4 linked regions of the Drosophila melanogaster genome follow. The protein of the gene in region 2 purifies or fractionates together with the protein of the main gene of each other region. This does not show direct contact. Each region holds a gene or a part of one and is shown on either strand. Other genes may lie near its edges.

The links.
Region 1: the proteins of CG18745 (region 2) and Arts purify together in Drosophila melanogaster (affinity purification with mass spectrometry, with the first as the bait; one large-scale study listed by BioGRID). This does not show direct contact.
Region 3: the proteins of CG18745 (region 2) and spoon purify together in Drosophila melanogaster (affinity purification with mass spectrometry, with the first as the bait; one large-scale study listed by BioGRID). This does not show direct contact.
Region 4: the proteins of CG18745 (region 2) and Mys45A purify together in Drosophila melanogaster (affinity purification with mass spectrometry, with the first as the bait; one large-scale study listed by BioGRID). This does not show direct contact.

Annotation. Positions count from the first base shown.
Region 1 is NT_037436.4:16,601,099-16,608,731, reverse strand, and holds Arts (artemis), read right to left. Parts: upstream 5,882-7,633; 5' UTR 5,521-5,881; coding exon 5,455-5,520; intron 4,959-5,454; coding exon 4,786-4,958; intron 4,727-4,785; coding exon 4,008-4,726; intron 3,952-4,007; coding exon 3,545-3,951; intron 3,019-3,544; coding exon 2,909-3,018; intron 2,850-2,908; coding exon 1,727-2,849; intron 1,602-1,726; coding exon 1,384-1,601; intron 1,305-1,383; coding exon 878-1,304; 3' UTR 586-877; downstream 1-585. Other genes in the region: CG4098 (uncharacterized protein), read left to right, coding at 1-33, 90-504.
Region 2 is NT_033777.3:7,783,268-7,788,095, forward strand, and holds CG18745 (uncharacterized protein), read right to left. Parts: upstream 2,853-4,828; 5' UTR 2,687-2,852; coding exon 2,572-2,686; intron 2,051-2,571; coding exon 1,907-2,050; intron 1,850-1,906; coding exon 1,638-1,849; intron 1,571-1,637; coding exon 997-1,570; intron 932-996; coding exon 675-931; 3' UTR 576-674; downstream 1-575. Other genes in the region: CG18747 (uncharacterized protein), read right to left, coding at 20-134; CG18748 (uncharacterized protein), read right to left, coding at 3,102-3,274, 3,334-3,916, 3,977-4,185, 4,251-4,400, 4,462-4,576.
Region 3 is NC_004354.4:5,417,331-5,422,235, forward strand, and holds the start of spoon (spoonbill), read right to left. Parts: upstream 3,007-4,905; 5' UTR 2,909-3,006; coding exon 2,864-2,908; intron 1,767-2,863; exon of another isoform or gene 987-1,766; intron 45-986; coding exon 1-44.
Region 4 is NT_033778.4:9,110,909-9,115,711, forward strand, and holds Mys45A (mystery 45A), read right to left. Parts: upstream 3,044-4,803; 5' UTR 2,964-3,043; coding exon 2,487-2,963; intron 2,425-2,486; coding exon 763-2,424; 3' UTR 597-762; downstream 1-596. Other genes in the region: tsu (tsunagi), read left to right, coding at 1-48, 138-574; Phax (phosphorylated adaptor for RNA export), read left to right, coding at 3,440-3,484, 3,543-4,275, 4,331-4,422, 4,476-4,752. UniProt on the Drosophila melanogaster protein: Required for 60S pre-ribosomal subunits export to the cytoplasm.

The sequences.
Region 1 (7,633 bases), on a different chromosome or scaffold from region 2:
AGGAGCAATTGTGGCCAACCCGACAACCGGCAAGTAAGTTGGCCCAATAGCCCATTAACTGTGATGACATCACTTCCTCTTTCCTGCAGGAATATCATACAGATGGTTGCCATACAGCGGTCCGACAACAAGTTGTGGGCCATTCCCGGTGGAATGGTCGATCCCGGCGAGAATGTCAGTGTCACCCTTAAGCGGGAGTTCACCGAGGAGGCATTGAATTTCACGGACAAAGCCAACATGGTTGAGCGATTTTTTCAAGCGGGAGGCGTTCAGGTATACCAAGGCTACGTAGACGATTTTCGAAACACGGACAACGCTTGGATGGAAACCACTGCGCTGAACTTCCACGATGAAGACGGGAGCCAGGTGGGACAATTGGAGCTAATGGCCGGTGACGATGCCTCCAATGTGCGCTGGACGGACGTCGACTCGAATCTCAAGCTGCACGCCAATCATGCCGACATAGTCCGTGAGGTTGTCATCCGACGAAATGCACACTGGTAGAAACTAGACTGAAACTATAAGAGTTAAGATCAACTGCCTAATGGTTGAAGAAAAACCAATTTTAAATAATAACATAGCCTTCAATGAAACAAGTAATCCCTATATTATTTCAATGCATATTAATGTCTCACTGGATGTGGTTATAAGTTAGAAAACATTTTCCTCCGTTTTTTGGCGCGTAGAAACCTTCATCTTGCCCTTTTAAAGATCGCTCATCTTGAATGATTTAACTCCACAGAAGCACAACTGAAATTTAAGACTATTTCGAAAGTATTCGTATAAAAAGCTTGCATCACTTCCAATAAATGAATCTGCGGGCGGAGGACGTTGGGTGTTCTGAGCTGTTTGGTGGTTTTCACACGGATATGTGGGCTTACAGGGCTTGCACATAATTGAACACTTCTGGATTCATGTTCGATACTTTGCTGAACAGTTCCGGGTAGTTGGCGCGAATCTCTTTGATGAGGGCCACCGCGCTCTCGGTTGTCTCGACGTCAGGCATCTGTTTCTTGTAACTCGCCTCTATGGTGATGGCCAGGATTTGCTCAAGATGTGCCTCAATGCTGGGGCGGGCCTTCAAGTATAGCACACGGAACGCCTTCTGAATCACATCGTTCTCCACGGTGTCATCCTTCAGTGGCAAATGGTTGAGCCACACGGGCAGCACCTGGCCAAGCGGCACTGAATCTGGGTTGGTAACTATGAGACGAGCAACTGCTCCGCAAATGTTGTCCATGGCGGCAGGAACGGATTCCCTGACAATTGCTTCGGAAAGGGCTTGCAAAATTGTCGGATAAGACCTATGGATGCAAAAAAAAAACAAAAAACATATACATCAAAACTAGATTCTGCAGAAAAGTTCATTTCCGGGAAACCCACTCGAATGATTTTTCCTCGGAATGGAAGACAATTTCGCCTAGTGCAAAATAGGAGTTCTGTCGCGCTTTGGCATCAGAATCCCTGGAACCGGCGATAAAAATGGGACGTAGGGCATCGAAATAAGTAGCACAGCAACCTTTTAACGCCTTGCAGCAGTCAGCAAGTGCGCCATAGATGTATGCCCGCTGTTCTGGTAAATCGCGCTCCTTTACCTTCGCCTGAAACGAAATAATTGAATTTCAGTAAGCCGTTCGGAATATCGATGGTTGTATGAATTATTGCCAAGAGAAGATCGACCTCTCTCCTTTGCCACATCATGTTCGGTATTTCGTGCAAAACCTACCAGCCTTTGAATATAGAAATGGTAAAGGCGTCCAAAATAAAGCGAGAACAGCTCCGGCTGAAGGGTTAAGCCAAACATGGGGAACAGATTGGCAGCGTTCTCGAACAGCATCTCGTCGTTCTCGCTTTCCTCCGAACACTCATCATCTCCGCCGCCGCTCTCCTCGTTAAACTGACAGGCCATTTTATTTGTGAAGATGTCCCTGATGCAACCGAATATAAGTTCGGCGTGCTCCTGGCTGTTTATCGCCGGCACGTACTTGAAGACATCGTAGAGGACGTCAAGCATGCGGAGTACGACCGCAACCTGGTCGTCGGTGCGCATTATATGTGCAAACTTTGGAATGGCAATCTCGCAGGCGCGCTTCAGGCCGGCGGCATCATCCAACTTGTGGAGAGCCGTAATGAACGAGCAAATGGAGTCAATACATGCCATACGAACGTCGCCTTGCGGATGATCAATCATCTTGTAGACGTTCTCGAATGCAGATTGCAAATAGGGCGCGAAGGCGGCGCCGGTATGGGTAGCAAACTCCTTGAGTGACAGAATGGCCTCCTCCTTTTCGACGATATAATCATTCTCCCCCAGGTAAGCGTCTTGGTCATCTTCGTCGTCTGTGTGCTCTAAATCAATCTCTATGTCGGGGGCATCTACTAGGGCCAAATCATCCTCCGCATTGTCCGACACATTTGGCACCATGTCCTCCGAAGAAATCACAGACTCCATTATGCGATCAATGAACTTGGGGAACACACTGGCCATGCTCTCGTTGACAACTGATGACAGAGAGGACATCAGGTTGTATATACTCCTGCGGAACTCGGGATCATCCGGACCATCTTCCAGCATCATCAGGCAGAAGTTCATTGTTTCGTCGGCAAGAGGAATAATATTATCCTTGCCCAATTCGCGACACAGCGCGGCCAGAGTGTCGATAGCTTGGATGCGCTGACTGTACATTTCTTTTGGGCAATCCTTCACCAGACAGCCCTGTAGTACGGTCATGATCCTGGGGAAATATGGCATCAGGTTTTCCTTAGCTGCTGCTGACACCGCTGCTATGGCCGACAAAGCCATTTCACGCATTTGATTTGAGTTCTGCGGTTCCATAACCCCAAACAGACTGCACAATAAGTTTATCAGGGAGTGGACTCATATTTCCGTAGTATAGTCTAGTCTTACCGATCCATAAGTGTGGGTAAATAAGGAACAATATCCTCATCCAGATTCTCGCAAAAGGTCTCCAGGGCATAAAACATACGATCCATATGTTTCGAATCCGGCTCACCAACCTGAAAGAAAATACATTTAGTATGTTTCTGCCAAACAATTTGTTGGCTTTGTTGGTGCAAAACGGAATGCAGTCCTCAAAAAACGTGAAAAGAACCCCATTTGAAGACACCTTCTTTATGTAACCGACGAACTTATTACTCATTTAAATAACAATTAAGAAACGAGTCAATGAACATTTAACATACGCCAAAAAGTTAAATAAACCAGTGCGAAATGATATATCTACAACAGAGCTCTTAATGTAATCAATCTGGCAAACTATTCAACAAATTTTAGGTGTTTGATGTGCAATCAAGTACATAGTAAACAGTAAGACATCGAAAAAGCACCCTATATTTGGCGAGGACCGATCTTCGCTTGATCTGTATCTTGTCTAAGTACATTATGGAATCTTTGGCAGGTACGGAATCGAGATTTGGCCCATTGCTGTTATGGCCAGCCTTTAGAAGCAGCACAAACAAATAAACGAGAATGTAAAATATACAAATTCCAAGTTGGTCGAAGATGGCCACAATGATTACCTACCTTGAGTTCCAGTACCAGCTGGTTTAGATAGTCGAACAACACGGGTAGAATTTGGGGAGCAAACTTGCAGATCGTCGGCTGAAGAAACTCGGAAAACTGACCGAGGGCGAAGAATGCGGCGGTCCGCACGAACATAACAGAGTCCAACACTCCAGCTTTGATGATATTTAGCATGACCTCGAGATACTTTTTCCCAATGGCCTCGGAACAGCCCTCGGCAATAACGCCCATGCAAATAAAAGAGGAACGGCGAAGCACAGGTTCCGGGCTCTGCAACGCAGGCTCCAGCAAATCCAGTAGTGGCGGAATAAACTTGTCCGGCACCATGTGAAGGGCCATCAGGTCGAGTGTCTGCGCAGCTGCATTGGATGGACTATTTAGGCTCTCCGAGGAAAAGTAATCATCGTCTAGAATAGGAATAGGGTTAGCAAGCATGGCAACAGAAATATAAAGGAGCAGTTACCACCTTCCTTGAGGTCGTCCTGGCAAATCACTTCGAAAAGAACAGATAGTGTGGGCTGTAGTAGTTTCTGCTTCATAATAATTTTCTTCTTGAGGCGAACTAGGCTGCCCACAAAGGTAAGCACCTGAACCCGAATCGAAGCGTCGAACTGCTTGTTTCTCGCAATCATCAGACAAAACTCCAGAAGCAGCTTCACATTGCCGGTCAGCAAGTGGGGCACATACTCGGCCATGCTGTCGATGATATCAAAGGCACCCATGAACTCATTACTGTTCCCCTTTTCGGCAAAGGCGGCCAGGGCCTTGAGTATGAGCGGCACAGCCTTAACCATAATCTGCTCAGCATCACTATGTCCACTTATGAAAGGCAACAGGACGCACGTACCCGCCAACATGTTATGCACGGTGGGTGTGGCCATGTTCCCATTCGCCTCGGCGGTAACTAGAATGCCGGCAAGCAACGGGAAGATAGTATCCGTGTGGTTCGAAAACTGATCGGGAGCAGCGTCCATGAGCGAGGAAAAGATTGAGCTGCCCCGCTCGCTTTCTATTGGATCGGGGCTGCTGCAACGTTCGTAAATAAACTTCAGTATTTCCTCCCTCCAGGAGTTTTGCTTGTCCTCCTCGTGGCGCACCAGCGATCCAATTATAAAGGCCACCGTGCCCTTCACGGTCTTTTCCTTCACCGCGATGAGGACCTGTAGCATGTTCGATTTGATTCTAAAAAACATGCATCCGTTACTGTATCATAGTCATTAAAAGGTAACCAGTTAACTCACGCTGCCTGGTGCTCGGCGGGAACCAACTGCCAGTGGCGTAACTTTTTGACCCGCCTCTTGAGGAGCACGGCGGCGACCTGCCGCTCTTGGACCGGCCTGTCCGACATCACGATCTGGGTGAGAACCAGCAGAGAATCGGGATTCTCGTAGGCCTTTAGCATCTTGGCTGTGGACTAAGGAAGCGAAAGAAATGGAACTTTATTATTTATGGCCCTATGCTATCATGCTATCAACATAAGTAATTTTTCAATTAGGAAGCATTTCAAGAACATGAGAGACCAAAGATTCTTGGAAAAGAATGATGGTATATCCACGAATTTAATGCAAATAAAAATATAATATTAATTAATTAATATTAATTATAAATATATAAATAATTATTTCTAAAAAATTTCAACAGTTTTCGGAAGTTTGTTCTGATCATGTATACATTTCTATACATTTCATGTATAGAGGAATGTGCCCATGCCGAACTATATGGCACTGTGTTCATGTGGCGTACATATATAGATAGATATGTACGCATGTATATAGGGAATGCGATCCAGCCACGCGGTCAGACCGACATGGAGCAGTCAGAAAGGAAAGCATACATGAAAGACATCCATTGGCGCCCAGGATAACCTCCTTTCTCATTGCCGGATGGTCAATTTGACCCGCTTTGCTCACCTCACGGATTCGTTCCGTGTCTATGGCCAGGATCCCGTTGATTATATCCAGAATAGCTGCCTCCATTTTTGGGGAGTTACTGTTCGCGCCCAGGCGGATAATCCAATGCAATCCGGTACAAATTACAGCCGACGTTACGCGGAATTGAGAATTGAAAAGTGGGATACCGGGGAGGAATTCGCGAAAAAGAGACCAGGGCTGGAGGCGCGTTGGCGTTGCACGTTGTGCCCATGTTGAAGTTTACAGTTTATCGGAAGCTTATTTTACATTCTACTCTTGAATTGGCTGGCGGTTATCATTTCGGTTTAACGAGTGGGGTATGTGATACGTGATTTTATCTCCCACAGTTAATTGGTGACTTGTGTTAACATTTTTCTTTAAAATATGTATTTATGTTTTTTTGTTTATTGTTGAGTTTTGATATGTGCGCTAGCAACAGTGTTATGCAATAGAATAATTTATTATTAAATTATTTACATTTTTGAGATTTGATCGACCGGACAAGTAAGCAAAGGCCGCTTCGACACTAGTGTCAGCCCTGGATCTTTTATCATTTATCGACGTCCATTTTCGATCGAAGCGACGTGCCTTTTTTTTGTTTTCGCGTTCGCACTGCAAACTGTAACTGTTAAAGGACAGAGCGGAATGGACAGAAGCAGTGGAAGCCAGCGAAATGGTAGTTACATGGACCAGAACTCGCTGGGCATTCTGAACGTGGACAATCTAAAGGTAAGCAGGCGGAGCACGCCGGAAATAAGCCGAAGCAGCAAGTAATCCGCATTTCCTAGAGTCTTCGGCGACTTGTCCAGCTTCAGTAAAAGTGGAAGGAGGAGCGGCACTGGTCGGGACTCTCCTGCCGTCCACGAGCGGCTCCGAGAAGAACGACTGCGTGCGCTGGAGACACTGGAAAATCCCCGACCGTCGCGTTCCAGCCAAGCAAAGAGCACTGCCCTCCAGATGCGCTCGTCCACAAACATCTCGGAGCTGGTAACAGACGACACCATCGATCTGAACAGCAGCAGCTCCTTTGCTTTGGTCATGCCCGCCACCAAGGTCACAAACATCTCTTTTGAGCCTGCGGAGATCACCGGCAGGTCCACACTCTGCCAGGCGGGAAAACAGCGCCGCAGGGAGAAGCCATCCCTGTCGATGGCCGAAATTCTAAAGTCATCCTTTGTTGAGAAGGCTCGCCTGTTGGAAAGGAAGCTGCAGGATGCCAGCCAGGCGGAGGCCAGCTATCACTTATCACGTGGCAGCTCCAGCAGCCTCTCAGATTCATTCAACTGCTCGCGCAGCTTACCGCGCACTGCGGACATGAGTGAACTGAGTCTTAACGGAGGTGGGGGATTTTCCTTTGGATCTGCCTCTTTGGCGGCGGAAGGCCAGGATGAGAGCTTTGCTCCCGCCGAGCTAATGCAGTCCAAATTGGTGCTCGGTGAAATCTCCTGGGCGCAGGAGTTCACGGCCATGCCGACGGCCACGTTGAGCACACAGGCGTTGAAGAAGATTGCCGCACCAACATCCGAGATAGAAACCTCGGTGTCCAAGTAAGCAACATAAAATAGTCTTCCAAATATAATTTGATCAACTTTCAACTTTTATTTACAGTTCTGTCTTGGCCGGAGATCCAGACTTTTCGCTGGGCAACTACTTCCAGACGCGTTCGGAAAATATATGGAACATTGTGAGCAATGGCAGCCCGAATCAGAAAGTAACGTGACACTGGATTCGGTTGGCGAGAAGACCCCACAGCCAGACAATAAAACATACACTAAAACGGATGCCATAACTGGCTCGAATCTCGGACGCAATCTTATGCGTAAGATGCAACAGGATCGGATTGAAACTGCGCTAAAGAGCAGGAATGGTCTGGCAGCCAAAGAGACCAAGCGTCCGCCGTCGAGCTCCGAGATCCTAAGTCTCTCCGCGATCGACATGGCGCTAAGGGACATAGATCTCAATTCGGATACATCCACTGTAGAGGTTGTCAACCACCTGTGGGAGCATGGTCGTGGAAACAATTATGACGATGGGGAAAACAAGGAGAACCAGAGCAGCAACTCCCATGCGGAGCGCACTTTGTGCGGCTCCAACAAGCTTACCGACACCATGAGTTTCACGGACTCTGTGCTAAACTCAACGGATTTTCGTCATTTGCAGCAGAGCATTTCGCGCAAGC
Region 2 (4,828 bases):
AAACGTTTACTATAATTACCTTGAACCTCCTTGGACCTGTCACATTTAAGGGTCGCGCATCCTTTTACCAGCTGACCGGCGTAGAAAGTACCATGTTTATTATTATCGAAGCTGATCTCACACGTAACAACCATTTTTCCCAAGATTAAATGTCCGAGCGCGAAAAAGCTAAAACCGATGTTATGGGGCAACTCACTGCGACTAATTTAAGTACAAAACTTCTGGACTGCTTGCGGTGCGACCGCGTCGTTAGATAAGCGATAAGAACCATAACTTGGACCCGATGTCGGATTCGGATTTCACCGGGAACGATACGGAATCGTAGTCCAAACTGTATAAGAGTCGATAATAAGTTCCCTTGCGAACTACTCGGACGTTCACTTGGGGTTTTCGGTCTGTTATCAGAGTTGGTTGTCGAGACCTTGGCACTGGGGAAGTTATTGCCAGCATTCATCGAGGGGTTTTCAAGAGGAAAGAAAAGCGTCGTGTTTGAAAATCTTAGACTACATATGGTAATATATATATAATTTCGAATAATTTCAAAAATCGCTCCACCCTGTACCAGTCTTGGAATTGTGATAAAATGTTTATTATAAAGTGTTAGGTGGAACTTTTGCCTTGTGTGCAAATGCTTTATCGCCCTTACATTTCTAGTATAGTATTTATTTTCGTTCTCATAGCCACGTTCCCTTGTCTTTGTCCACATCCATGGCCGGATTGACAAAGGCCCTCTCTGCCATATAATTCTGCGTATAATCCGTCGGCGGCGGAGCTGAGGGACTGGGTATGTCGAAGACCGGATAGAGTGGCTTATAAGCACCGCCATCCAAACTGAGAGTATTGGGCGGTACTGGTTCCGGGTCGTCTAAGTCGTCTGACCTCGTTGCAGCCGTGCTGCGCATGTGAACAGCCTCCTGATAGTTGGGCGGAGCTAAAAACACCAACAAAAAACATAAATTGATACTGTAATTAGTTTATGGATTCTAGTAAACTCACGAATGGATGCGTCGACAGACCATGGACTTGAAGAGTTTGGAGCAGTGGCTACTTCTTCAACAGCCAGCTCATTAACATTCAGCTGGGGGACGAAACCCCGAGGCTGGATTGGTACGTGTTGTGCAAGAGGGACACTGCCAATGGTCAGCGGAATGGTGACAACCTCGTTGTTGTGGCAACCCTTCACCCTGGCCTCCACCTCCACTTGGTAGGCGATCTGGATGATGCCGCACAGGTTGAAGCAGGTGGGCGGAGTGGCCGGGACTCTGATCTCATAGCTAAATAGCTTCTTGCAGTTCCTTTGCACAGCGTCCCCCTTGAAGGTGTTTACCACCAACCTCTCGGACGTGGTATTGGGCATCGAAGGTGGCTTACTGTGGTATGTCACCAGCATCACAAAACTAATGAGGAGCTGCTCCACCGGAATGTGGCTATCGTTTGTGACCAGCACGCTAAGGGGAACATTCTGGCCAGGTACAAATCCTGTCTGTGGAACGGTCAGTTGGAGGGCCAACGGATCTGATCGGCAAGGCCAGCAGCAGTAGGTCTTCGAGGTTTCACTGTGGGCGGGTACCTACATAACATATTCAATTAGCTTAGGTTCTAACAGATATGTATTCGTGTTTGATTTTGATTCGTACCCTTAGCAGTGGACTATCGAAGTTCAAGTCCATCACTTTTAGCACCGTAAAGCATCGGGTATAGCTCTGATCGAATTTCCAGGGCCTGACGAGGGTTACGGTTGCCATGTACCGCACCCTGCCGTGTGATCCCTCGAAGGACGAAGGACATTCGGTGGGAATCAGGCACACGAAGTTGTAAGTGTGAATTCCCGCTTCAATGGATACTTGGCCTGCAGATATGATTAGCAATTAGATGGACTTTCTTGCCTAAATGGAGCTTTACGTACTGCTCAGATTGGATCCCACCAAAAATGTTTTGGACGCTATGTAATCCTCGCGGCCGCAGAATGTGCGACGTCTCCTCCTTCTGTTTGTGGTCACCCTTTCAATCCAACGCGTCTCTGCGTATCCGGTTATATTCAAGGTGATGGCTGCGGAGAAGAAGTTGATAAGGTATTTCTTAGAAAGGTATTTTAGCTCAATGTACTGTAACGAATTGAATTTATTCTTTAATTGTTTTTTAAGTCATCTAAACGATGATTATGGTTTTGACAAATTAAAATCTTTTAATCATACAGAATTACTGTTATGCATTCACATGAAATATCCATAAAAACTTACAAAAGCAATCGTTGTATATATGAAAAAGTCAAATATGTATCCACCCCTATTTAATATTAATTAATGCGAAACCCATTGATTATTTAAAAATAATTTAATCTTATCGAACGCAAATATTATCATTGATGCATTTGTGTATGTTCGCCAAACACCTTCATGTAGACATTAGATTTCGCACGTGTGGTTCTCTACTCACTATAAATATATGAGTCACCGGACTAAATCTTCGTTTAAAAACATTCAACCGCACTTTTAAGTTGGACGATAAGATAAGAATGACTCATGGCATATTGTCAAATTCCAAAGGTATCTCAAATCAACTGCCCCTCACCTTTTACCAACTTCATCTTGTCCAGCTTCAACGTAACTCTGCCAGTGAGTACCTCGCCCCCAAAGTAGGTGCCATGGGGATTGTTATCGAAATCAATTTCACAGGTAACAGTCATAATTGTAATTGTAACCGCAATCGTGTATTTATGGGCCGATCCTACTCTGATGCCGCTGCAAACACGACTGATTTGATTTTAATGCCAATGTTCAGTTATTTACTCCCTAAATTCCGAGAACTCCAGACAGAGTGGAAGGAACCGCTTTTCGCGACGATAGCACCCACATGCCCACTTGGCTGCCAGAAATCAACTGAGAATAAAACAAACATTGCGGTTGTTCTATATTGGTAGCGATGGCCAGAAAAACTTTATCTTATCGCTGTCACAATTTTGAATTATACATTTTGCCAAATGCAGTCGAGCAGCAAATAGCCCTCATATCTCCGGAAAAATCCCAAGGACTTCTTGACAAGCAGGCGTGGGATGGGATGTCCAATGGTTCTCAAATGTAGAATAGTTTTTTCGCCCGCCTTCATTTCTTTTCCTCTTTATCCAAAGCCGCTTCCTTGCTCTTTTCTACAGTTGAAGTAGACAAATCGAAGACAGGATACAACGGCTTGTAAGACTTCTCTTGCGCATTTCCCGACTCTGACTGTTTCTCAGAGTCACTATGGGAATGCATGGCCTCGGCGTAGTTCGGTGGCGCTATAAAAATCGTATGGTTACATAATTGATATGGACATATTAAAACAAGGACAGCTTACATAGTGTGGATCCTTCTGACCAGGGATATGGGGGAGCAGCTGGAGCAAAAGCTCCCTCTCCCTCAATCAAAGTCAAAGCTCTTTGTTCTGGAGCCTCTGGCCCAGAGCTCTGCGGCGTATATTGCACCGCTGACGGCGATATCGGAACACCACAAATAGTCACCGGCATTATCAGAGTTCCATTGATATGCATGCCCTTCACCTTGGCCACAACCTCGATCTGGTATCCGATCTTGATAATGCGGCACAGATGGAAACATGAAGGCGGAGTAGAGGGTATCATCAGTTGGAAGTCGTACATTTTCCGGGAGTTCCTCAAAACTCCATCTGCCTTTAACTTGGCCACGGACTTGCGCTCGCACTTGGAACCTGAACTTAGATCACTGTAGTAGGTGATCATCATTGATAGTCCAACCTTCACTTCGTGCACCCGAATTTTGCTTTCGTTACCAATCAGAACATTTGCGGGTACCGTCTGACCAGGCACAAAGCCAGTCTGCGGCAAATTCAGCTCCAGCGTTAGAGGATCCGATCGGAAGGGCCAGACCCCAAAGGTTTTCTCAGTCTTGGCCTGCACGGGAACCTTAAAAGCGATTACATTGTTATAGCAGACCTCCAAAATTTCGTTTCATGTTATATTTACCTGTGAAACAGAGTTATAGGTGTTTATGTCCATCACTTGAATAACGGTGAAAGCTCTTGAGAAAATGCTGTCGTACTTCCACGGCTGAATGATATTGACATCCACCATATAACGTATACGACCATGAGTCCCCTCGAACGATGAGGGACAATTGATTGGAATTGGACAAGCAAAATTGTAGGACCTAGTTCCCGGCTCCAAAGCCATTTCTTTGCGAATACATAAAATGAAATTTTGACCAATTTCAATAACAAATTATCACTCAATATTTTACCAGGGCTAATTTCGGAACCCAAAAGATAAACTTTACTGGAAAGGTATTTCTCAAATCCATTGTACGACTCTGAAGTGGACTTGTTATTCGAATCAGTCTTGCTTTCGGTCCAATGGGTCTCTGCATAACCTTTTAGCTTAAGTCGAATTGCTTAATATGTAAAATGTTGCGAGAATTATATGAAGTATCGCAATCACAACTGAGTACTTACCTTTGATTTGAATCGCCTTATCAGTGCTCAGAGTCACTTGACCAGCAACCATTTGGCCCGCGTAAAAAACCCCTTGCGTGTTGTTGTGAAAAAGAATTTGGCAAATTATTCCCATGGTTTTTTATGGTTAAAGCACAAGTTTTAATGAATTTAAGTCTGTCGTTAATTGTTAAGATGTTTTCCCTTCAATTGCCGCAATCAAACTGAACTAAAAAGTTTCTTACCACTTATTTTGTGCAACGGAGAGCTTTTGGTAATTTATCTTATCAGTACACCCATAAATCTATTTATTGGTAAACCCAAAAACCCCCTACAATTTTTTTATACAATAAATAGATCATTCGTAACCAGCTAACATGAGAACTGA
Region 3 (4,905 bases), on a different chromosome or scaffold from region 2:
AGTAGAGGACGACCGGATACCATTTTCGCTGAATATTGAAAGATCTGAAAGGGAGAAGAAGTTATATTAGTCTGTGCGATTTGAAAATATACTTGTGTACTGTCACACAAATAGGATTATTTTGATCACACTAATACTGAAATAAAAATGAAGTAGCTTTTGTTTGTGCAATATTTGGAAAAGTTATGGTTTGTTGTTTAATTTACAATTGGAAATAATGTGTGAACACCTCTTATCAGGGCAACAATTTACAAATCAAGTAGCGTCGTATATAATTACTTTAAAAAGCTTGTCATGGCTCAAGATAAGAAACGGTACACAATATGCAATTTTGTGTAGAATAACTTTGAAAACAAAGTAAAGAGCTTTGAATTTGCGTTTAAATTTAAGCGAGAATTTCAAATATGAAATCAATTTTGAAGAAAAGTGTGAGATTAAAGGGCTAATTTGTCAACACCATCCACATGAACGTTGTTTTTTAAATAACGACATATGCATGTTGTTATATTTGAAAAAACCTATTTAAAGGTTTCGAATTGGTTTTGCAAGTCACGAGACCCGCCTGCATGTGCTCGTCTGCATAAGTGTGCGTGTGTGTGTGTGTGTTTGCCAGTGTGTTTGATTTTGGTTTTTTCCTTTCTGAACTTTTGCGTATTAATAGCAACAAATAAATACGTAAATATAGACAACAACACAAATGCCGAGAGAGAGAGAGACAACGAGAGAGAACGACGAAAAAGGTGCAAAGCGATTTTTGAATGCCACGCGGAAGGGAAAAACGCAACGGGAGAGAGCGAGAGAGATGGAGCGATAGATCGCATGCAAAGAGCGCGTGCGCAAGAACGCAAAAGAGCGTCGGCGAAGAACGGAAGAGAGGCGCAAGAAGAAACCGTTACGTTTACGTATGGCAATGGCAAATGTTACGAAATCATTACAAAACAAAACTAAAAGTTACGAAAACAACAGCTTTGCCAGAAATTCATCACCTATTCACAAAATAAATGTGTGTTTTTGTATTACCACTAGGATAAAACTGAATTCGTTGCTTCTTCCGGTTTCGTTTGTATTTTATGTCGTTTTATGGCATCAATTCGCTTCGGCTTATTTTTTGGAGTTTCTTCTATGCTTTTGTTTATTTTCTTTCTTTTTTTGTTGGGTTTCGATATGCCGGCGAAATTGTTCGAGAGATTCGAGATATCGACTGCTCGATATATGAAGGGAAACTACTTTGCACGCCTTCTAATTGCCAATTCCTCTGGCTTTTTATTTGTATTATTTTTTTTATTTCGGCACCGATTCTCCGCTCTTCACTCCATCCGCTCTTCCGCATCGGCATACCCCCACCAACCCGCGAAAAAAGAGAGGATGCGTGGTGGCAAGTTTTTATTTAGCGCCCCTTTCCACCCACACACACACTCATCCCACCAAGCGGAAACGAGACAGAAAGCCGGAGAGAAGAAAAGAGAGTGGCGAGCTCATTAGAACAAAGAAATCCGAAAACCGTTAATCAAAATCCATTCAAATGGATTGTAAGACGCTCCTTCGAATTTGGTCAAAATTTCCGGGGCCCGAAAAGTGCAAGTCATGCCGAACAGTAGTTTAAAGCCATGAGATCTTTAGTACTTTTAAGTTACTCACTATAGAACCGATTTACCCACTATACTCCCGCTTCCCCCCATCCACAATATCGTCACTTTGTTAGGGCCCAAAGGTCCTCCTGTTACACAGTGGTCAGATGATAAGCTCAATCGACAAGCAACTGAAACACAAACATACATTGTATGTATGTACATATGTATATGTATATGCATATGTATATGTATAAATGTACATATAGCGACAGATCAACGGTTGATGGGAGCATGCAGGGGGTGGGGGATAAGGGGCCTAGTGGGGTGCTATAAAATGGCCATGGAAGGGCAACTGGCCAGACAGCTGTGGCATTTCCTAATCGTCGAAACCGGGTGACGGGAATTTTTCAGATTACGTTTTATACCCTTTGCTTAGAGTATTAAAACTTGTTGACAAAGCTTGCCACATTTTGCCTAAAATTCTTAATAAATGGATATGCATAAGAGCAGGGAGAAGTGTAGTTTTACACGTATTCGTATCAACTCTTGAATTAAAACGACAAAATGTAAGATAAGGGCACAACAACTTCGCAATGGTCTTCTAGTTTTTGTTATTTTTTTTTTGTATTTCCTACACTGTAAGCTTGTTTATACATGAATATTGATGTGTCTGCGTGTCTCGGCATGCAAACAAACATGTTTAGGCATGTTTTTTGTGTGCCTTTCGGTTATTTGTTATTTTCTGACTTTGAACTTGCACATTGTTGTTGCTCCAAACTCGAATACCAGTGCGGCCAAAAGAAGAGGAAGCCGTCGAACGGGGAGGTGAAGCAACAGCCTAAAAATTTGAAATTCCCCCGAACAAGCGAGAATGAGCGACACAGAGAGGCAAGCCAGAAGAGAGCACCAAAACAACAACAAATCAGGTGCAACAACATTGCCAGCTAGCCGAAAAAGTCCACATTGTTATAATCTTGGCAACGTGGTTTCCGATCATATGGTGGCCAAAAATGGGCGGGGATTGTATAATCGGGGGATATACTACTTTATATGTGTATACATATGTATGTATGCATAGACGCAATGTTTTCTTTGTGGGAGTGGCAGCTCCTTTTCGCCTTTGTTCTCTTTCAGGCGTAAAAAAACCGAACATTAACGGTGAAAGCTGTAACACACACAGACGCACTTATGCTCGGCATGTGTATGCGTGCGATTGTGGGTGTGTGTGTGTGTGAGTGCTGTCATTGTGTAATCGCCGAATTGAACTCCAAATTTTTTCCATAACCACTTACTGTCACTTTGCCGGAACAACAACAACAGCGGCAAGGCAGAGTCATACACTTAACAAAAAGTTGACAAAAAAAAGGTAGTTAAAACGTTGGCTATGGTACCGGGAAAGAGGTGCGAATAGAGCTCAAGACACGGACATTGGAACAAATCCACACAGAACAGAACATGACACCATTTTCCGTCACATCTCTCTGTTTTGGCAAACACACACACGCACTTTTTTTGTACTAGGTTATGTTCCGCGTGCTGCGATTTCTTACCTTTGTGAACCGCTTGGGTAACTTATTTTGCTCACTATCTTTGGGTGCTTTCAAAGCTATCTACTGCACACGCGAGTTGTGTATTGTTTTTGCTTATTTGCTGGCGATTTACTGTCGTTTTCTCAACGCTAAAGTGCTGCACGAATTAAACACGTGTCTACGTTCCACCTTTTACAAATCACAATAACATGGCCGGCGTGCGGCAGTGTTGCCATGCATCCGCAAAACTCTGGCAATCGGAGCTGCCTGCTTAATCACCCGCACTCGCGATGGCCAAATCCTCGAATTACAAGAGCCTTTGTGCACACAAAAAAAAAATATAGAAAAAATCACTTCACAGTTTGAATCGCAGCCCAATTATTTCTAGAAAGCCGAAAAACGTGTGCACGGAGTGCTGGTTATCAAATCGAATGGCAGCACATGCACAAACAGGGCTGCCCACGCTCATCGATAGGTATCGATTGGGGCAATAGGTATTTTCTTAGGCGGCGTTGCCACCGAATGTGCACAAAAGTGTTGCAAATTTCGCGATATTTCGTTACGATATTTTGTGGAGCAATACTTTTGGGCATTTGTAATTTTCCAACGTAGTTCTTGGGAAGTTCTGATTTCATTTTGTCTTACCACAATATGCTTGTTCATGCGAATTTCAGCCTATTTTTTGTCAGTATAGCGCACTATAAATCGATAATTTCGAAATAATATTTATATAGGAGCAGATAGCGACTTCAATATCTCAAAGAAAACAATCACTAAAAATCTTCTTTTTAATTTAACACAGTGATGTGTGTAATTCCAAATGATATTTTTTTAAATTTATAAAGCGGCGCAAAATAAAAAAAAGACCAAGCTAGTTAGTAGTGAATGCATACATAGATTTTTGAAATCCCTTCAATGATTTAATTACCTCCTGTTTGAGCGAAGAACATAAGCAGTGTGGATAATTAATTAAAATAATAATAATAGCAATTATTTGCAGCATAAGTTGAATGATATAAATGAATTATTTGCACATGTTTCGAGACCCTATAGTTTCTGACAACGGTTCAAATTGACCACACGCGAGATTTGCGACGAAAATAAGCAACGGTCACACTTGGTCACGTCGTTCACGTTTTCTATTTACGCATAAACGAATAAAAAGCGCCTAAAAGTGCTATAAAACATATATGTTGTGTGCTCATGTGCTACACATATCGCAGCGAGTAAATTTAAGGTAGTAGGCAGATCTTGTTGTGCATGTGTGTGGGTAATCACAGTTCTAGTTTTGTAATTTTTTATATTTCCTACACTGTAAGCTTGTTTATACATGAATATTGATGTATGTGCGTGTCTCGGCATGCAAGCAAACATGTTTAGGATTGTTTTTTGTGTGCCTTTCGGTTATTTGTCATTTTCTGACTTTGAACTTGCACATTGTTGTTGTTCCAAACTTGAATACCATTGCGGTCAGAAGAAGAGGAAGCCATCGAACAGAGAGGTGAAGCAACAGCCTAAAAATTTGAAATTGACCACACGCGGGAGTTGCGACCCAAATAAGCAACGGTCACACTTGGTCACGTCGTTCACGTTTTCTATTTACGCATATACGAATAAAAAAAAGTGCATAAAAGTGCTGTAAAACATATATGTTGTGTGCTTACGTGCAACGCATATCGCAGCGAGTAAATTCAAGGTACTACTCAGATCCTGTTGTGCATGTGTGTGGGGGTAATCACAGTTCGTGTCTATGTGTGCGTGCGTATGGGCTTGATTGGTTGGGTGCGTGTATGAGTTCGGGGTCC
Region 4 (4,803 bases), on a different chromosome or scaffold from region 2:
TGGACATTGACAATGCGGAGGAGTTCGAGGTGGACGAGGACGGTGACCGTAAGTAGCTGCGGCAGGCTTTGTAATCCACCGGTCTTATGCTTTCTATTTTCTCCCACGCCGCGCCGTGCACCCTACGCTCAAAACAGAGGGCATTGTGCGCCTGAAGGAAAAGGCGAAGCACCGCAAGGGACGCGGATTTGGAAGCGACAGTAACACCCGAGAGGCGATCCACAGCTACGAGCGTGTGCGCAACGAGGACGACGATGAGCTGGAACCTGGTCCACAAAGGTCCGTCGAGGGCTGGATACTGTTTGTCACCTCTATCCATGAGGAGGCGCAGGAGGACGAGATTCAGGAAAAGTTCTGCGATTACGGAGAAATCAAGAACATTCACCTGAACCTCGACCGGCGTACTGGGTTCTCAAAGGGATACGCTCTCGTCGAGTACGAGACCCACAAGCAGGCGCTCGCCGCCAAAGAGGCCCTGAACGGTGCCGAAATAATGGGACAGACCATTCAGGTTGACTGGTGCTTCGTTAAGGGACCGAAGCGCGTTAAAAAGTCCGAAAAGCGTCGCAGATAAACGACTCCCAGCCCCAAGAATAATTTTTTAAAATAGTTTAATGAATAGGCAACCGTACAAAGTCTATATGAATTGAAATAAATCAGATAACTCTACCAACTACCCTTTATACAATCAATTGGTTAGAATTATATATCTTATATTGGTATTCATTTAAAGCACTACGAGGTTTGAAACGCAAGAAGGTACTACTTCATCTTTTTCTGATGCAGCAGATGTTTTCTCAGCGCCTGCTGCTTGTCCTTGAAGCTCTTCTTAACCTTGGAGCGAGCCTTGTGTCGCAGCATGCCAAAGTTCTTGGTTTTGCGCTTCTCGCGGTTCGTCTTGGAACAGTGCTCGTTCACGCGCCCATCCTTCCAGCCAAAGCGCTCGCGATCCTGCCGGCCCGCCTGCACAGTCTCCAGCCGCGACTCCTTGTCGTGCTTGCGCTTCTTGTAGATCATCTCGATGCTGTTCAGCTTGACGAACTCGGCGCGATCCTGTTCAAGTGGTCTCTTGCGGGCACTGGTTACGGTCTTCTTAAGATTAGCCGCGTTGATGCGCTTGAAATCTTCGTCCGTGAATATGCGAGTAAGAGCCAGTTCCTGTGCAGCCTCCTTTTGGTTAAGGATCCTCATATCTTTCTTTTCCTTCTTGGCCTTTGCGGACTCTTCGCCACTTTCCACGCCTTCGTCGGAATTATCTTCATCCTCATTCTCCTCGTCATTACTGTTCTCTTCGTCTTCGTCTTCGTCATCATCGTCCTCATCCTCATCTTCGTCTTCTTCATCATCGTCCGCTCCACCACCCTCACCATCACTGTGCGCCACGTTAACCCATTCACCATCGTTTGAGTCCGTATCGTCTTCGCTCTCTATGTCAATAGTCTTAGAGTCCTTGAGCAGAGCCTCTGCACCCAAGACAGTGTCGTGGACTTCGCGCTCTCCGTAGGCTCGAACCTTTCGTTCGGCCTGGGCCTCTGTCTGCCTGCCTCGGTCCTTTTTGTGCAACAGGGCAGGCAGCTGTTCCCTGTAGAGTGTGATTAGCGACCGTGCCGCCATCATCACCGACTTCTCCTTGTACGTTTTGTACATTGCCAGGTCCTGCAGCAAATCCTCGCCCATGGCCAGGGGACATCGCATGCAAATCTCACGCGTCGCATTCAGACCTATGGCCATCACATCGCTGGAGTTGCGTTCAGTAATGAAGTTGTTGGCGATCGTCTTTAGGATAGGCTCGATGATGTCTCCGGGAACCAGTTCGTGGGACGCTTGGGCGGCAAACTGGAGCACACGTGTCACCTGGCGTTGGTGGGGTTGCAGAAAGCGTGTTATGTACGGATAGAAACCGAAAAGGAAGAGGTCGTGGATGCCGATCAGCCGGGAAATAACGTCCAAATGCATTAGCTTCACCTCAAATCGCTCGTTGGTGGCCTGCAGCTGCTTAAAGAGCCCTTCGGCCATTCCCTGCGGATTGTGCACCAGGTGAATGCCTGAGAAGTTAAAGGCTGGAGCGTTCTTTTTCTTTTTCTGGGCCTTCACCGCTTGCTTTTTGATCTGCGCCAGTTGCTTGGTCCGCTTCTTGGTTTTCTTATTGACTCGATTGGCCATCAGAGCACCCTTAAGGTCCACCTCGTTCTCGCTGTCAGTGTCCTCCTCTTCATCCTCTTCGTCGTGGCCGAGGAAGAACTTGAGCGAGGTGACCAGTACTTTTGTTACCTTAGAGAAGCACCCCACAGTGGCTATGACATTCACCGTCTTAGAATCATTCCATATGTTTTTCTTGTACAGCTCGATCATGATATCAGCGGACATCTTGGCTGCCTTCGGATTGGCATCCTTCAGCATGGAGTACATGAATGCCTGCAGGCTCTGCAAAGACATAAATGAATATTGATTGAGTCCAACAGTGGTAGCTGACGACTGCGTCTTACCGAATTGAGCTTCATGTCCTTGTGCTTGGCATTCATATTCTTGATGTCCGTCACAATGTGCGTTTGCAGAAAGGTGCGCAGATTCTTGTCCGGACACCGCAGCAACTGAAAGAACAGTTCCAGTATGTCCAGCGCGGGCACTAGGTTCTTGTTTCTCAGCAGGATTAGAGCTTTCACAAAGCAGTTACGCATAGCCGGGTCCAGAACGGTGGCATAGTTCTTCAGCAAATCGGAAAGACGCTTTGGGAACTCCTCGCAGACGGCCGGATAGCACTGAGCCACCTGGGCGACAAACATGACGATGTCATCCAGGGATTTGTTTTCTTCGCTGGGATTCAGCGCAAAAACTTCCAGCAAGCTAAGAAAGTGTTGGTACTGGATGTGGAACTCATCGCTATACGACTCCGGATCCCGCTTGATGAGGTTCTGCAACTGCGGAAGGTTCTCCGGCAGCTGGTTGTTGTTGGGCCGCACCATGGTGAGCCGTTATAACAGTATAAAAACTACGATTATTTTCAACCACGTTCTGTTTGGTTCGCAAAGTAAACGCACGTGTGGTGTGTGACCGTTTGTGGGTATAGCAGAAATGCCTCACCTAAAACTATGTTTATTAATTTAATTAAATTAAATACATTTAGTCTTATTTACATATAATTCAATAAAAAAAATATATTAATTAATATAAGCTATGTTGTTCACCCCCACCTAAGTATTAAATTACGCAAAACTTAATTTGCCTAGTAACACCTAGTTACGCTGATCTTTTTATTATTGTAAATATAACACGAGCTAATCTAATTTACATCTTTGCACTATTAAAGACCAATAATATAAACATAATAATTTAACTATGCACCAAGTAATCCTCAGTAAGTATGGTCACTCTGCCGCTCAGTGTTGCACAAACAGCTGCACTTTGGGCGAAGATTTTCTCTCGACTCGCCATAAAAAAAATGATGGAACTGCACGCAAATGACGTTGACCTGGAGGACGGCGAGGTAATCATAAGCACCCAGACTACCGAGCATCTAATGACCATATCTGCCGGCCTTTCAGCTATCGGAGAGCGACGATGATGGCGTTTACACGCCGTTGCAGCGACCTGACGGTGCGGAGAAGGTGGCCAGTCCCCTTACCACCTGCCATCAGATCCAGACTGCGTTAGAGGACGAGTCACAAAGCAACAGCGACTCCTCGACTGCCGAATCCTCCGAGGACGGGTGCATCAAGAAGCTTCGTACGGAATCCACCGGACCCGACGGCCACAAGAAGCGGAAAAAGCGCATTCGGCGCACGGTAATGCGGCGCGTTCCGCCCACGGATGCTGAAATGCAACCGAATCGAGCCCGTTTCAAGAAGTACAACGTGTGGGCTTCTGCCCTGCAAGAGGATGCGCTCAGCGAGAATATGCGTGGCTGCGACGTTACCCGAAGCGGTCGGGATCGAAATGTTGAAAACTACGACTTCTCATTGCGATACCGGCTGAACGGCGAGAACACTCTAAAGCGACGACTCTCAAACTCTTCGGAGGACGGCGGCGAATGCTCCCATCCAGCTCACAAGAGGGGAAGACCTTCTAGTCGGCCCATCACCGGGAATCAACAGCGCGGTTTGGTCAAGAGTAGAACGGGTCACCGGTCACGTCGTGGGACATCTTCGGCCAGCGGATCTTCCGATTTCTGCGAGCCCAGACACATTCTGGACTTAAACGAAGTGGGTGAGAGAGATCCTTCGGATGTGGCTACCGAAATGGCCAGCAAACTGTACGAGGAAAAGGACGAATTACTTGGTGAGTATGTGAAATAAATAATGCCCTACTTAGTAAATAATGCCAGTTTTACCAGTTCGAGTCGTGGAGGTTCTTGGCATAGATGTGTGCCTAGAGCTATACAAGGAAACTCAGCGCATTGAAGCCGATGGCGGCATGATGATCAAAGTAAGTAGTAAAGGATGTTCCCCCGAATATACTAACACGATACCTCGAAACAGAACGGCATACGGAGACGTACACCAGGCGGGGTATTCCTGTTCCTAATAAAGCACCACGATAACATCACTCAGGAGCAGCAGAAGCGCATTTTTAGTGAGGATCGCCAGAGTCTGAGCAAGTCTCGAAAGCAGATCGAAACGTTGATGCGGGACCGTAAGGTGGAAGAGTTGAAGAAGTGCCTCAGCAAGCAGGTTACGGAACTGCCGACGTTAAATCAGCGCAAAGAGTACTACATGCAGGGCGACGAGCAAAGTGAAGATAAGCAACCGGGCAGCTGTAAGAAGATCCCATTATTATTGTTAAATCTCCTATGTGACTATTTTGACT